2 linked regions of the Macaca mulatta genome follow. The protein of the gene in region 2 purifies or fractionates together with the protein of the main gene of each other region. This does not show direct contact. Links are inferred from orthologs where the notes say so. Each region holds a gene or a part of one and is shown on either strand. Other genes may lie near its edges.

What was found. Proteins that work in one complex are often made in the same cells at the same time.
Region 1: the proteins of SART3 (region 2) and LSM2 purify together in Homo sapiens (affinity purification with mass spectrometry; 3 studies listed by BioGRID and IntAct, counting the BioPlex papers as one, with this or other methods). This does not show direct contact. The link is inferred for Macaca mulatta from reciprocal best matches to the Homo sapiens genes SART3 and LSM2.

What each region holds. Positions count from the first base shown.
Region 1 is NC_133409.1:150,507,474-150,514,544, reverse strand, and holds the start of LSM2 (U6 snRNA-associated Sm-like protein LSm2), read right to left. Parts: upstream 3,881-7,071; 5' UTR 3,671-3,880; coding exon 3,668-3,670; intron 3,059-3,667; coding exon 2,991-3,058; intron 1-2,990. UniProt on the Homo sapiens protein: Plays a role in pre-mRNA splicing as component of the U4/U6-U5 tri-snRNP complex that is involved in spliceosome assembly, and as component of the precatalytic spliceosome (spliceosome B complex).
Region 2 is NC_133416.1:115,685,268-115,692,348, forward strand, and holds the start of SART3 (spliceosome associated factor 3, U4/U6 recycling protein), read right to left. Parts: upstream 4,400-7,081; 5' UTR 4,389-4,399; coding exon 4,077-4,388; exon of another isoform or gene 2,770-4,076; intron 976-2,769; exon of another isoform or gene 853-975; intron 1-852. Other genes in the region: iron-sulfur cluster assembly enzyme ISCU, read left to right, coding at 5,821-5,934. UniProt on the Homo sapiens protein: U6 snRNP-binding protein that functions as a recycling factor of the splicing machinery. Promotes the initial reassembly of U4 and U6 snRNPs following their ejection from the spliceosome during its maturation.

The DNA.
Region 1 (7,071 bases), on a different chromosome or scaffold from region 2:
CATCAGCCTCCCGAACAGCTGGGATTACAGGCACACAACACCACGCCTGGCTGATTTTTGTATTTTTAGTAGAGATGGGGGTTTCACCATATTGGACAAGCTGGTCTCAAACTCCTGACCTCAGGCATCTGCCCGCCTTGACTTCCCAAAGTGCTGGGATTACAGGTGTGGGCCACTGCATCTGGCCTAAATGTACATATCATTTAAAGGACTGTACAGATAAGTACAGGGCCAGGCATGCTGGCTCATGCCTGTAACCCCAGCACTTCGGAAAGCTGAAGCAAGAGGATTGCTTGAACTCAAGAGTTTGAAACCAGCCTGAGTAACAAAGCGAGACACTGTCTCTAATTTTTAAATAAATAAATATTATTTTAAGAAAGAAAATAGGACTAGGTGCAGTGGCTCACACCTGTAATCCCATCACTTTGGGAGGCCAAGGCGGGTGGATCACAAGGTCAAGAGTTCAAGACCAGCCTAGCCTAGATGGTGAAACCCCTTCTCCACTAAAAATACAAGAATTAGCTAGGCATAGTGGTGGACGCCTGTAATCACAGCTACTCGGGAGGCTGAGGCAGAGAATTGCTTCAGCCCAGGAAGCGGAGGCTGCAGTGAGCCGAGATCGCGCCACTGCACTCCAGCGTAGGTGACAGAGACTCCATCTCAAAAAAAAAAAAAAAAAAAGCCAGGCGCAGTGGCTCACGCCTGTAATCCCAGCACTTTGGGAGGCCGAGGCAGGCGGATCACAAGGTCAGGAGATCAAGACCATCCTGGCTAACACGGTGAAACCCCGTCTCTACTAAAAATACAAAAATTAGCCAGGTGTGGTGGCAGGCGCCTATAGTTCCAGCTGCTGGGGAGGCTGAGGCAGGAGAATGGCATGAACCCGGGAGGCAGAGCTTACAGTGAGCAGAGATCACACCACTGCATTCCAGCCTGGGCGACAGAGCGAGACTATCTCAAAAAAAAAAAAGAAAAAAGAAAAAGAAAAAGAAAAAAGCTGGACATAATCATATTTCTGTTCTGTATCACTTACTAGTTTTGTAGACTTGAACAAGTGGTATAGCTGATCTAAGCCTCAGTTTCCTCATATGTATAACAGCAATAGTACATATTACTAAGGAGTGTTTGAGAAATCAATCAATAAATGTATTCAGAATAGTGCTTAGTCAATAGGTCTTCAGATATTATTTTTCTTTCCTTAAGCACCTATCATACAACTGGCCTATACTAGGTATTAGATACACAGTAGCATATCTAATACGTAGGTTTCACCATGTTGGCCAGGCTGGTCTCAATCTCTTGACCTTGTGATCCACCCACCTCAGCCTCCCAAAGTGCTGGGATTACAGGCATGAGCCACCATGCCCAGCCTATGGCCTGTTCTGTTTTTTTGTTTATTTTTTTGAGATGGAGTCTCGCTCTGGTCGCCCAGGCTGGAGTGCAGTGGTGCCATCTTGGCTCACTGCAAGCTCCACCTCCTGGGTTCATGCCATTCTCCTGCCTCAGCCTCCCAAGTAGCTGGAACTACAGGCGCCCGCCACCACACCAGGCTAATTTTTTGTATTTTTAGTAGAGATGGGGTTTCACCATGTTAGGCAGGATGGTCTCAATCTCCTGACCTCGTGATCCGCCCACCTCGGCCTCCGAAAGTGCTGGGATTACAGGCGTGAGCCACTGCGCCTGGCCTGGCCTGTTCTTTTTTGAGACAGTCTTCCTCTGTCACCCAGGCTGGAGTAAAGTGGTACAATCATGGCTCACTGCAGCCTCGACCTCCTGGGTTCAAGTGATCCTCCCACCTCAGTCTCCCGAATAGCTGGGACTACAGGCATGTAAACCACATCTGGCTAATCTTTTATAGAAATGGTTCTATGTTGCCCAGGCTAGTCTCGACATCCTGGACTCAAGTGATCCTCCTGCCTCAGCCTCCCAAAGTGCTGAGATTACAGGTGTGAGCCACCATGGCCAGCCTAGTACTTACTCTTTATTTATTTTTTTTGAGACAGAGTCTCACTCTGTCACCCAGGCTGGAGTGCAGTGGTGTAATCTCAGCTCACTGCAACCTCTGCCACCCAGGTTCAAGCGATTTTCCTGCCTCAGCCTCCCAAGTAGCTGGGATTACAGGCACCTGCCACCATGCCTGGCTAATTTTTGTATTTTTAGTAGAGACGGGGTTTCACCATCTTGGCCAGACTGGTCTTGAACTCCTGACCTCGTGATTCACCCACCTCGGCCTCCCAAAGTGCTGGGATTACAGGCATGAGCCACACGTCCAGCCCATGAGCCACCACACCTGACCAGTATTTACTCTTTAAACTGTATATTGCTTTGTATTGTTTTCCAATACACAATACAATCCCCAAGCTTATCTGTAAATTTAAGGCACAAGGCATTTATTTATTGTTAAATTTTAAAATTTGTCTTAGAGATGGGGTCTTGCTCTATTGCCCTGGCTAGAGTGCAATGGAGTAATCACTGCTCACTGCAGCCTCAAACTCCTGGGCTCAAGCAATCCTCCCTCCTCAGTCTCCCAAAGTGCTCGGATTACAGGCGTGAGCCACTGCACCCCACCCATTTATTTCTTTTGTTTGTTTGAGACAGAGCCTCGCTCTGTCACCCAGGCTGGAGTGCAGTGGCGTGATCTGGGCTCACTGCAAGCTCTGCCTCCCAGGTTCACGCCATTCTCCTGCCTCAGCCTCCAAAGTAGCTGGGACTACAGGGGCCTGCCACCATGCCTGGCTAATTTTTTGTATTTTTAGTAGAGACAGGGTTTCACCGTGTTAGCCAGGATGGTCTTGATCTCCTGACCTCGTGATCCGCCCACCTCAGCCTCCCAAAGTGCTGAGATTACAGGCGTGAGCCACCGCACCCGGCCATTTATTTCTTCTGTACATATTCCACCTCACCCAGCCCTCAAATATTTCTCAAATTAAAGAGGTTCCAGGGCCCTGGGCACACCCACCCCCAACAGACTTGTTGGAACAGGTACCTACCTCAGGTCATTCTTGAGTTCCACGACCACATCCTTGCCCACAAGGGACTTGAAAAAAGAATAGAAGAGCTATTGGGAGAGAGGGGGAAAACCATCATGTGGGAAGGAACATGGTAGGGAGGAGTGTCCCTTGACAGTATTACCAAATACCGGTATTGTGAACCCCATTGCATCCCTAACAGTTCTCAAAATTTCACAGGAAAGAATAATTGGTTGAGAGGTGAAAGGCTGGAGCCCAAATTATTCTGCACACTGCATTGAGCCCATCACTTAAAGTCCCAGAGAGGCTCTGCCCTGCATACCTCGGCCTCCCCAGTGTGCTCTCTCAATCGACCACCTTTCTCGGGTACCTGCCCACTCCTTTCAATGAATTACAGAAAACATCCCACCCGCACCCTGCCGAAGCTTGCCTGGCAGAGAAGTGCTCTAAGGTCTAACTTTTCCGTCTCCCGCTGTCCCCACTGAATCTCTCTCAGGGTTGGGGTTTTTTTCCTCATCATGGAAAAAAAAAATCCCATTTGCTCTCAGGTGTCTCCTCAACGAACTTGAGGAACAGGACTAACGATGAAGATAAAAACTCCGGACCTAACTCCAGCCTAGGGGGACAAAGGCCAGACCCCCCTGCCCCAACCGTCCGAGATCCCCGAGGGCGACCCCTTTTGACGTCACGGTACCCACCATGGTGCTGGCGCAGCGGGCAGCGGGCCGGAGCGAGAAAAGAGCCGGATGCTGAGACCAGGTCTGGGAGAACCGAAGCGCGAGCCCGCGCGTGGGGCGAGGCGGGACCGCGCAGGCGCAGCGGGAAGGGACGCAGAACCCTCCAAGCGCTGAAGGGTAAAGCGCGGCCGACTTGCGGCTGGGGAGCGCAAGCTGGGTAAAACCGAGGGGAGGAGGAAGCCGGGAAAGGGGCGGGGTTTCCTTCGTTCCGACTTCTTCCAGGGCCGGCCGGCTCCCATTGCGCAGGCGCGGACCCTAGCCTGGGCTGCTAGGCGGGTGGAGGCACTCGGCGTCTGAGCTCAAAAGGTTTTGTTTTCCATAACCCTGCCGTCCACAGCGTGATGTGTTCGTGCCCTCTACACACATCCTATCGAGAATTGTGGGGAGTTTGTGAAGATTATGAAGTGTGCACTTTTCTATATTTGTTAAAGTAAAAACATAAAATTCAAAAAATAAAATTAAAAAATGTTTTTAATCTTAAATTCAGCTGATAAAAAAAAAAAAGGCCGAGGGCGGTGGCTCACGCCTTCAATCCCAGCACTCTGAGAGGCCAAGGTGGATGGATTGTGTGAGGTCAGGAGTTCGAGACCAGGCTAGCCAACATGGTGAAGTCCCGTCTTCACTAAAAATACAAAAAAAATTAGCCAGGCGTGGTCGCGGGCGCCTGTAATCCCAGCTACTCGGGAGGCTGAGGAAGGAGAATTGCGTGAACCCGGGAGGTGGAGGTTGCAGGGAGCCAAGATCATGCCACTGCACTGCAGCCTGGGCGACAGAGCGAGACTCGTCTCAAAAAAAAAAAAAAAATTGGCCGGGCGCGGTGGCTCACGCCTGTAATCCCAGCACTTTGGGAGGCCGAGACGGGCGGATCACGAGGTCAGGAGATCGAGACCATCCTGGCTAACACGGTGAAACCCCGTCTCTACTAAAAAATACAAAAAACTAGCCGGGCGAGGTGGCGGGTGCCTGTAGTCCCAGCTACTCGGGAGGCTGAGGCAGGAGAATGGCGTGAACCCGGGAGGCGGAGCTTGCAGTGAGCTGAGATCCGGCCACCGCACTCCAGCCTGGGTGACAGAGAGAGACTCCGTCTTAAAAAAAAAAAAAAAAAAAAAAATTGACCGGGCGCAGTGGCTGACGCCTATAATCCCGCACTTTGGGAGGCCAAGGCAAATGGATCACCTGAGGTCAGGAGTTCTAGACCAGCCTGGCCAACATGGCGAAATCCTGTCTCTACTAAAAACCCAAAAATTAGCCAGGTGTGGTGGCACGCGCCTGTAAACCCGGGAGGTATAAGTTGCAGTGAGTGGAGATCGTGCCATTGTACTCCAGCCTGGGCAACAACAGTGAAACTCTTGTCTCAAAACAACAACAACAACAAAATGTTGAGGCTTGTAAATCCCAGCATTTTGGGAGGCTGAGGCAGGAGGATCATTTGAACCCAAGAGTTACAGTGAGCTACGATCTCCCCACTGCATTCCAGCCTGGGCAAGACTCTGTCTATAAAAAAGAAAATTATAAAAAACAAAAAAATGTTGAGGAGTCCCAGAGATAAGGAGCTGGAGCACAAATTTTGGTTTTATCAAAGGTTACCAATAAATATATTTCTCCAAAGGAGCCAACCTCAATCTCCATATTTCTTACACACTTTTGCCAAGACTGTCCTGTAAAGGACTGAGTAAAAAGAGACTGTGGCTTACAGATGCAAATAACCCAGTCTAACATTTCACTGCCAAATGTTTCAAACACAGACAGAAATGCACAGTTACATATCATTCTAACTCATGTCCCCCAGGTTTTTATAAATGTATATTAGGACACAGGTAAAAGAAAACAAATTTTTTTGAGATGCAGTCTTGCTCTGTCATCAGGCTGGAGTGCGGTGCCACGATCTCAGCTCACTGCAACCTCCACAACCCAGGTTCAAGCAATTCCTCTGCCTCACCCTCCCGAGTAGCTGGGACTACAGGCGTGCACCACCATGCTCAGCTAATTTTTGTATTTTTAGTAGTGACGAGGTTTCACCATGTTGGGCAGGATGGTCTCGATCTCTTGACCTCATGATCCACCCACCTCGGCCTCCCAAAGTGCTGGGATAACAGGTGTGAGCCACTGCACCCGGCCGGTAAAAATATTTTTTCATGGACTAAGACTTCATAAACTTATATTTGTCATCTTGCATAGAAGTACTTATTTGTCAAGAGTTTGTTATAGAAATATTTTCTGGGGCTAGGCATGGTGGCTCACGCCTATAATCCCAGCACTTTAGGAGGCTGAGGTGGGTGTATCACCTAGGTCAGGAGTTCAGAACAGCCTCGTCAACATGGTGAAACCCCATCTCTACTAAAAACACAAACATTAGCTGAGTGTAGTGGTGAGCGCCTGTAATCCCAGCTACTCAGGAGGCTGAGGCAGAAGAATTGCTTGAATCCGGGAGGCGAAGGTTGCAGTGAGCCAAGGTCGTGCCATTGCACTCCAGCCTGGGCGACAAGAGTGAAACTCTGTCTCCAAAAAAAAAAAAAAAGAAAGAAAGAAAAGAAATATTTTCTCCATATAATGAATGTAAACAATGAACTCTGTGAGTGCACAGATGCTGAACCTCCTGGACCTTACCTATACATCAGGACATCAAGCAGGATTTGTCCCTCCACCCCAAGCTGAGTCCTAAACACCAAAACCAGCCTGTAACTGATTAAAAGCAGTTATAGTTTACAATCTGTTCCATCTGTGCTAAAGGTATCTGAGGATCAAAAATTATGTGCTGATTGAAACAATGAGTTCATGGGCCGGGCGCGGTGGCTCACACCTGTAATCCCAGCACTTTGGGAGGCTGAGGTGGGCAGATTCTGAGGTCAGGAGATTGAGACCATCCTGGCTAACATGGTGAAACCCCATCTCTACTAAAACAATACAAAAAATTAGCCGGGCATGGTGGTGGACGCCTGCAGTCCCAGCTACTTGGGAGGCTGAGGCAGGAGAATGGCGTGAACCCGGGAAGCAGAGCTTGCAGTGAGCCGAGATTGTGCCACTGTACTCCAGCCTGGGCGACAGGGCAAGACTTCATCTCAAAAAAAAAAAAAAGAAAAGAAAAGAAAAAAAAACCCAATGAGTTCATGAAAATTCAAATACTTTACCCTTACTAATTTAATCATTCACAGTGAGCTCACAATCAGAGAACACATGCTCTCTCCATGAACTCTCCCCTTCGAGGTACATTCACAGCCTAAATACCAGAAGTAATTTCCTTTAGGAACAAATTTACTGATTGACAAATAAGCATCCACACAGGAAAAAGAATGTTAGGGTGGCTGGAAATAACAGACATTCAAATACATCACACGGTTTAAAGAGGGGCCTAGTTTTCCTGAGTC
Region 2 (7,081 bases):
TGAGATCTGGCCACTGCACCCCAGCCTGGGCGACAGAGCGAGACTCCGTCTCAAAAAAAAAAAAAAAAAAAAAAAAAAAAAGACTTTTAGCAATGTTCTCCTGCTTATGACTCCTAAAAGCTGACAAACTGAACTCATCCGATGATCACGATAGGTGAAAAGCACTGGACCAGATCAGGACACAAGTGTTCTAATCCCCACTTGTTCTGTTTCCTCGTTTGTACCATGAAAGAGCTGGGCTAAAGCTCTGGTTCTTAAATGGGCTACCATGACACACTGATGTTTCAAAATCACGTATCAAGTGTGTCACACAAAGTAACCGCAGTTTGGGATATTTGAGAAATGAAGTTTGAGAAGGATATACTTTCTTCATTAAAGAACATTCAAGGCTCTCCGCGCCACATCACCACTCTGAACTCACTAGAGGTGCTTGTGGAGCACGAACAGGAGTGGGAGAGCACTTGCCAGTCAGTGTCACGAATATCTATGTATGCAAGCACCCCTCACATGAATACCATGTGTAGATCAGCAGAAGAAAAAGCTGTAAAAGTCGCTAAAGTCAAGAAGCTGCCTTTAAGGTGTGGCTTTTGGTGTAAACTTCTGATTTTCAGGGTAAAATGATGAAGTTGCCATATAAGGACAAATACTCTGAAAGTACATATATTAAATACATATTGAAATGCATTTAAAAGAGCTATTTCTACATAGTTCAACCTATACTGAGAAATGATAAATATGCTGGTCTATTCTGGTCTTAGAACATCATTAATGACTTTTTTTTTTTTTTTTTTTTTGAGATGGAGTCTTGCTCTGTCACCCAGGCTGGAGTGCAGTGGTGTGATCTCAGCTTACTGCAACCTCTGCCTCCCAGGTTCAAGTGATTCTCCTGCCTCAGCCTCCCCAGTAGCTGGGATTAATAACATAGATGCTTTAAAGGAAACTTAACCAATCACAAAATGATACGTTAACTGATTGAACTCCCTAGCAATGTGAAGAAAGTGTTACACCTACCTGTACTAGAAAGGGGGAGAAATAAGAGAGGTCTGATGGAAAGAAAACAACTGGTGCGATCAAGGGAAAGGCAGGGAAGGGAGAATGGAGCAGCAACTATCACATACCAAACCGTGCCAGGAGCTTTACCCACATTGTGCCTGTGAGTCACCCCACAACAGCCTTGTGAGGAAAGCACTATTACAACCTTCATTTTACTAACTGGGACACCCAAGGCTCTGCGAGCTGAAATAACTTGTTACAAGGCCTTTCCACTACTCAATGGAAGGCTGGGGATCACACAGGGTTGCAAAGCCATAGTCTCTGTACTGCTGCACTGACAAATCTGCTGAAGCGACCATGAAGTGCCACTTTTAGTTTCAGCACACAAACACAAATAATGGAAAATATTTGCTTTTGTTACACAGATACCATAGCAAACTGCCAGCTTCCATAAAATATAATCGTGGCCACGTGTGGTAGCTTGTGCCTGTGATCTGAGAACTTTGGGACACTGAGGCAGGAGGATGACTTGAGCTCAGGAATTCAACATCTACCTGGGCAACATAGTAAGAACCCATCTCTACAAAAATAAATTTTAATTAGCCAGGCGTGGGGGCTCATGCCTGTAGTCCGAGCTACTTTGAAGGATGAGCTGGGAGGATCACTTGAGCCTGGGAGGTCCCAGCTGCAGTGAGCCATGATCACGCCACTACTCCAGCCTGGGCAAGAGTGAGACGCTCTCTCAGAAACACTCAGGTATGAGAACCAGAACTTTCAAATATGGCGAGGCCAAGTTTCTCCCAGACCTATTTGGAAGCGATTCATCATGATGCTCTACCATAAGAGCAGCTACGGCAGGAAGCAGCAGCTGTGGGACCAGGTGAGGTGGGTGGGAGGCTTGGAGAAATTGGAAAAGTCCATTTCTAGACCCCAGGACAGAGAGCATAAGGCCAGAGGGTCTTCAATTCATCACTTGCCAGGTCCCATCCTGTGTGGTCACATTCTAAACTCCATTCCACCCTTGGTGATTTGTGGCAGGACAGGCAACTGCAGAGTACTAGTGGCCAGGAGACCTCTGCTCTCCCCTTTCTTGCTCCTTAGCAAGCTGTGTACCCTCATCAAGGACTTAACCTCTCTGGTCCCAAACCTCTCTTTCCCCCACGTCACAGAATAGGCTCATCGAAAGGCCCAGGACTAGCAGTCTGAAGAAATGATATCAACAAGGGCAGGGACACAGTCAATCTGGTACGCAGTGTCACGCTGTACTTGCTGAATAAGACTAAATTAGCTTCAGTACACTTATTTATAAAAAGTGGAAATGGTAACTACCTGCCAACCCCAACTGGTTCCTCTGTCAATCAAATGTAATGGGTGGGACAAGCTATACCAATGGATGACATCACTATCTCATAATGTAACAAAAATATCAGTGCCAGAGGGAGTATTATAAGGAAACTGACACTCAGCAACGTTTAATGAGTAACCTAGATTAGCAACTTCACATTCCCTGAGTGATTTCACATCCAGTGTGGCATCTAGTCCACATTTTCAGTGTAAATCCCACTATGAACGACTTAAAGCAAATCATTTCATCATTTGTTCTGAACCTCTGTTTCTTCATCTGTAAAAAGAGAATGTGGGCCGGGCGTAGTGGCTCAGGCCTGTAACCCCAGCACTATGGGAGGCCAAGGTGCGTGGATCCCCTGAGGTCAGGAATTCAAGAGAAGCCCGGCCAACATGGTGAAACTCCATCTCTACTAAAAATACAGAAATTAGCCGGGCGCAATGGGGCATGCCTGGATCCCAGCTACTGGGAAGGCTGAGGCAGAAGAATCGCTTCAACCAGGGAGGCAGAGTTTGCAGTGAGACGAGATGGTGCCACTGCACTCCAGCCTGGATGACGGGGCGAGACTCTTGTCTCAAAAAAAAAAAAGAGAATGTGCTCCATCTCTTCTGTTTGCCCCCTCCAAACACACCCTACCCTCTCCTCCCTGCCCTGTGTCCCCGAGTATAGACCCCATATACAGGTTTTCTGGCTCTTCAGCTTCCAGATGGGTCTGCCCAGCAGAAGGCACCAGCAGGGGAAGTTTGGTGGAAGGAAGAAAGGGAGGTCAAGGTATTTCTTCCCCCACCCCAATCCTTGACAGGAAACTGGGGCTGCATCCCTTGAACAAAGTTATCAGCAGGTCTCAGGTGCCCTCTCTACACAACTCAGATCATTCCCTTCACCCCTTCAGGCCCAAAGATGGACACCAGGTTCTGGAGTTACTAGCCATGGGATACTAAACCTTCACTCCTGATTTCCCTACCCACACCCTTACTTTCTCTCAGATCATCCTAATCTAAATGTGCCACCTATTTCCTGCTGAGATCCTGGATTATACAGTAGATATCACCACCTCGTAAGGTTACAAACGAAAGACCATGTTATGACTAGATGCTAGGCACTGGACTATAGATACTGTTACAACAATTATATTATGCAGACATTGTTGCTCCCAATCTGCAGATGAGGAAGCCGAGAGGATCAGAGAAATTAAGAAATTCTCACAAGGACATACAAGGGTGGAACAGCTAGAACTGAGGCCTTAACCTCCAGAACCAGCAAACCTTTCCATTTCTATTATCACCATCGCGGTCAATATTTTTCCTACCACAAGTTTCATCACCGCCGTCATTCCTACACAACAAAGTAACAGTCTCTTGTGAACGAGTGTATTTCTACTGTTGGACGTGTGGCTACGAGGGGGAGTTCTGGAATGGGATCAAAGTACGAGGCCTGACTTGCAGGAAGTATTATCTTGAGCAAGAGACTTTCCTCCACGAACCTCAGTTTCCTCCAATAAAATGGGGATAGATAACAGGGCTTCCTTCACAGGGTGGTGAGGAGGATTCAATGGGATAACATTTGCAAAGCACCGGGCACGCAGTAAGCACTCAAATGACAGGAGCTACGGTCATGAAAAAGGGGTTTGCAGCCTTGGCGGCTTTATGGCCGCCGAGGACTAGGGAGGCGGGCCAGGACACGGGGACCTGAGGACCTGAAAGACTGGAAGGTGCCCGCTGCCCACCCCCGGGCCCACCTGCTCCTCCAGTCTCTCAATCTCCAGCTGGTTCTTCTCCTCCTCTTCGTCATATTCCCACTCGTACTCCCCGGGGGAGCTCTCCGCGGAGGAAGCCATGGCGTACTCATCCCCATCGCTCTCGCTCACGCCTTCCTCCTGCTGATCCCACCCTGGCCCCACGGTCTTGTATGTCGCAGCGGCCACAGCCCGCGATAACACCTTCCTTCTTGTCCTCGCCGCCTTAACCTCATCCTCCTCTCCGTCAGCCTTGGGCCCAGCCTTGGACTCAGCCTCAGGTTCTGAAGCCGAGGTTGCGGCCGCAGTCGCCATCTTGCGCTTCTAATGACTCTCGGGTCTTCCCGCGGCCGCCAAAGACCCGCTGAGGCAGAAGCTGCCCGCGGCGCGCGCCTTATCAAAAGCCCGTTTTCTTGACACTGAAAGGGAAACTGGGAACCTTAGATAACGAGAAAATCTCCAAATACACTAAATTCATTTTATTTTATACCCCTGTAAAAACTCCCACCAGAGAAAAAACTCATTATCATGGCATACGTTCCGTCACAACTTCGGACAGAAGTTGGGTCTTTGGGCAGGAAGTGGAGGCCATAGAGGAAGTCATGGAGCGAGCGTGGTGTCTGTAGTAAAGAATTTGGCGCCATCTTGAGAAGGTCAAAGTGATTCTTAGAAAAAATACCTTACTTATCGCCTAGCGTGACCTGGCGCTTGGGTTTAGTCTCCCCAGCAACTGCACCTCAAACGCAAAGAAAACTGCAGGTCCTCGGGGAAGGATCGATTTCACCATTCAAGAGAAAAATCCATTTCCCAAAGAAATTCTTCCCCTTTATGTAAACATCTGGTACCTAGGAGGCGTTAAATACACTTGAGTTTTCCGGTTTTATAAGCTCACATACTGCAAACCAACAGTAAATACGCATTTCTTTAGAAATTCTTAATTGCTAGGCACCGACATATAAATTGAATTTGCTGTTGTTTTAGAGAGAAAAATAGACATATACTCATTTTTTTTCAATCAGGACATGGTGTTCGTTTCCTTCTTAAGCTTCCCATTGTTGAGGTAGGCAAGTACTGGAGTGTGTCTCTATCTCTACCTTGCTCCCTCATTAGCAAGCTTAATAGGCAGGAATTACGTCTGTTTTGCTTTCTGTTGGATCCCCGGGTCTAGTAGAGTGCCTTGACACATAGTAGGTACTCGACACAGATGCTGGCTTCATGATGAAGGAATTGTCCTCGAATTAATACAAAAGGGAAGATTCAGACTTAGCAAGCCGGTACCATTTGTCTAGGGACACACAGCCAGGAAGGAACCGAACCAGGATTCTAACCCAGGACTACCCAAGTTCGAATTCTAATTGAACCTAAGCCCTAAGCGACCTTGGACGGAGTGACCAAACTGCCCTGAATCTCAGCTTCCTTAGCTGCAAAATAGGGTTAGGAAAAGTGGACTCAGTGGTCCTCTGCGCCGCATTCCCACACTGCAGAAGCCTGAGATCCTCTCTCAACCAGAATCCAGCACCCAGGACAAGCCCTCTAGCGACTTCAGACCTTCCCGCTCCCGACCCCGCCCGCCCCCGAGAGGCGTGGTCAAGGCGGGGCCACAGGGCGGAGGCTTGCACGGAACGGTAAGGCGCAGGCGCAAAGCCTCGGTGACGCCAGAGAGGCGCGCTCCCAGCTCGGCGCCGACTCGCAGACGCGCCCCGCCCCTCGGCATCGCTCTGGACTGGCGCAGGCGCAAGCCGGCAAGATGGCGGCAGCTGGAGCTGGCCGTCTGAGGCGGGCAGCGTCGGCTCTGCTGCTCCGGAGCCCCCGCCTGCCCGCCCGGGAGCTATCGGCCCCGGCCCGACTCTATCACAAGAAGGTAGGGACAAACGAGGGGACACGCGGAATGCCGACTCGGGGGAGGCCTGGGCTGGAGCGGCGGCCGCGGGGTTCTACGCAGCCAGGACTAGCTGTCGCCTCCCACGTCTTTCCCCTGACTCACTTTCCCTTGCTACGCAGTGAGGCTCACTGCAACTGATAAACAACAGTTACCGCTTATCGGGCTGCGACTTCCAGGGGGCCCCGCCGCTGGCCGCGACTTCGTGCGTCCCAACTTTAAATTCGCCAACAGCCCAGGAGGCAGGGTCCTGTTGGGACTTGTCTTTTACAGTCCATTGACAGACACACCCCCGGAGCGGGCTCCGGCTTCAGCCACGCTGCTGCCCTGGCCAGATGACCTTGCGCTAGTCACTGCGCCTCTCTGAACTTGTTTCCCCAGGTGTAAATGAGGACTCTCAGCTGTCTCTTACAAAGGATACTGTGCATGGAGTCCTGTCATGGTTCCTGGCACATAGGCCCCAGCACGAGGAGACCGTTTTTGTTACTGCTTTAGGAGTGCATAGGGGAGTCAGACTTGTAACCAACATGCGTAGTGTTTTTGTTTTGTTTTGGGGGTTTTTTTGGCGGGGAAGGAGGGATAGATGCATAGTTTGCAGCCCCTTGCTGTCTGGTGACGCAAAGTCCCCCAGACGTGAGACTGCCACTCTAGAAACAGAATAAATCAACGTGGCACAAAAAGTCCCTCCGTTAGATACTATCCTATAGGGGCCTTTACTTGGAGTCAAAATCCTTAGATGGGGAGGAAAAGGGGACTGGAAGATCGGGGTGCTTACTACTAACCAGTAACCACATTAAGGCCTTCTGTGTGCCAGTTCGAATAGATGTTGATTCTGATCTGGCCTCTGCCCTTTCTCCAAGGGCTTCTTCACTCCTCCCCCTCCCGGCGGTGTGTTTCGTTGAGGGTACACCCCGAGGAAACTTGGACTAGCAGCCTTTCAGCAGCCAGGGTGCGCTGCTGCACCAGGGTGATGACAGGCTCTGAAATACGGTAATGGCACTGTTTTTATTTTGAAAGACACATAAACGTACACATTCCATAGCATTGTTCTCTGTGTAACAGTCACCTTAAGGCTTCTAAAAGTTTTCCCTTCCTGGGCCATAGTTATTTTTAGAATTTTTAAATAGTA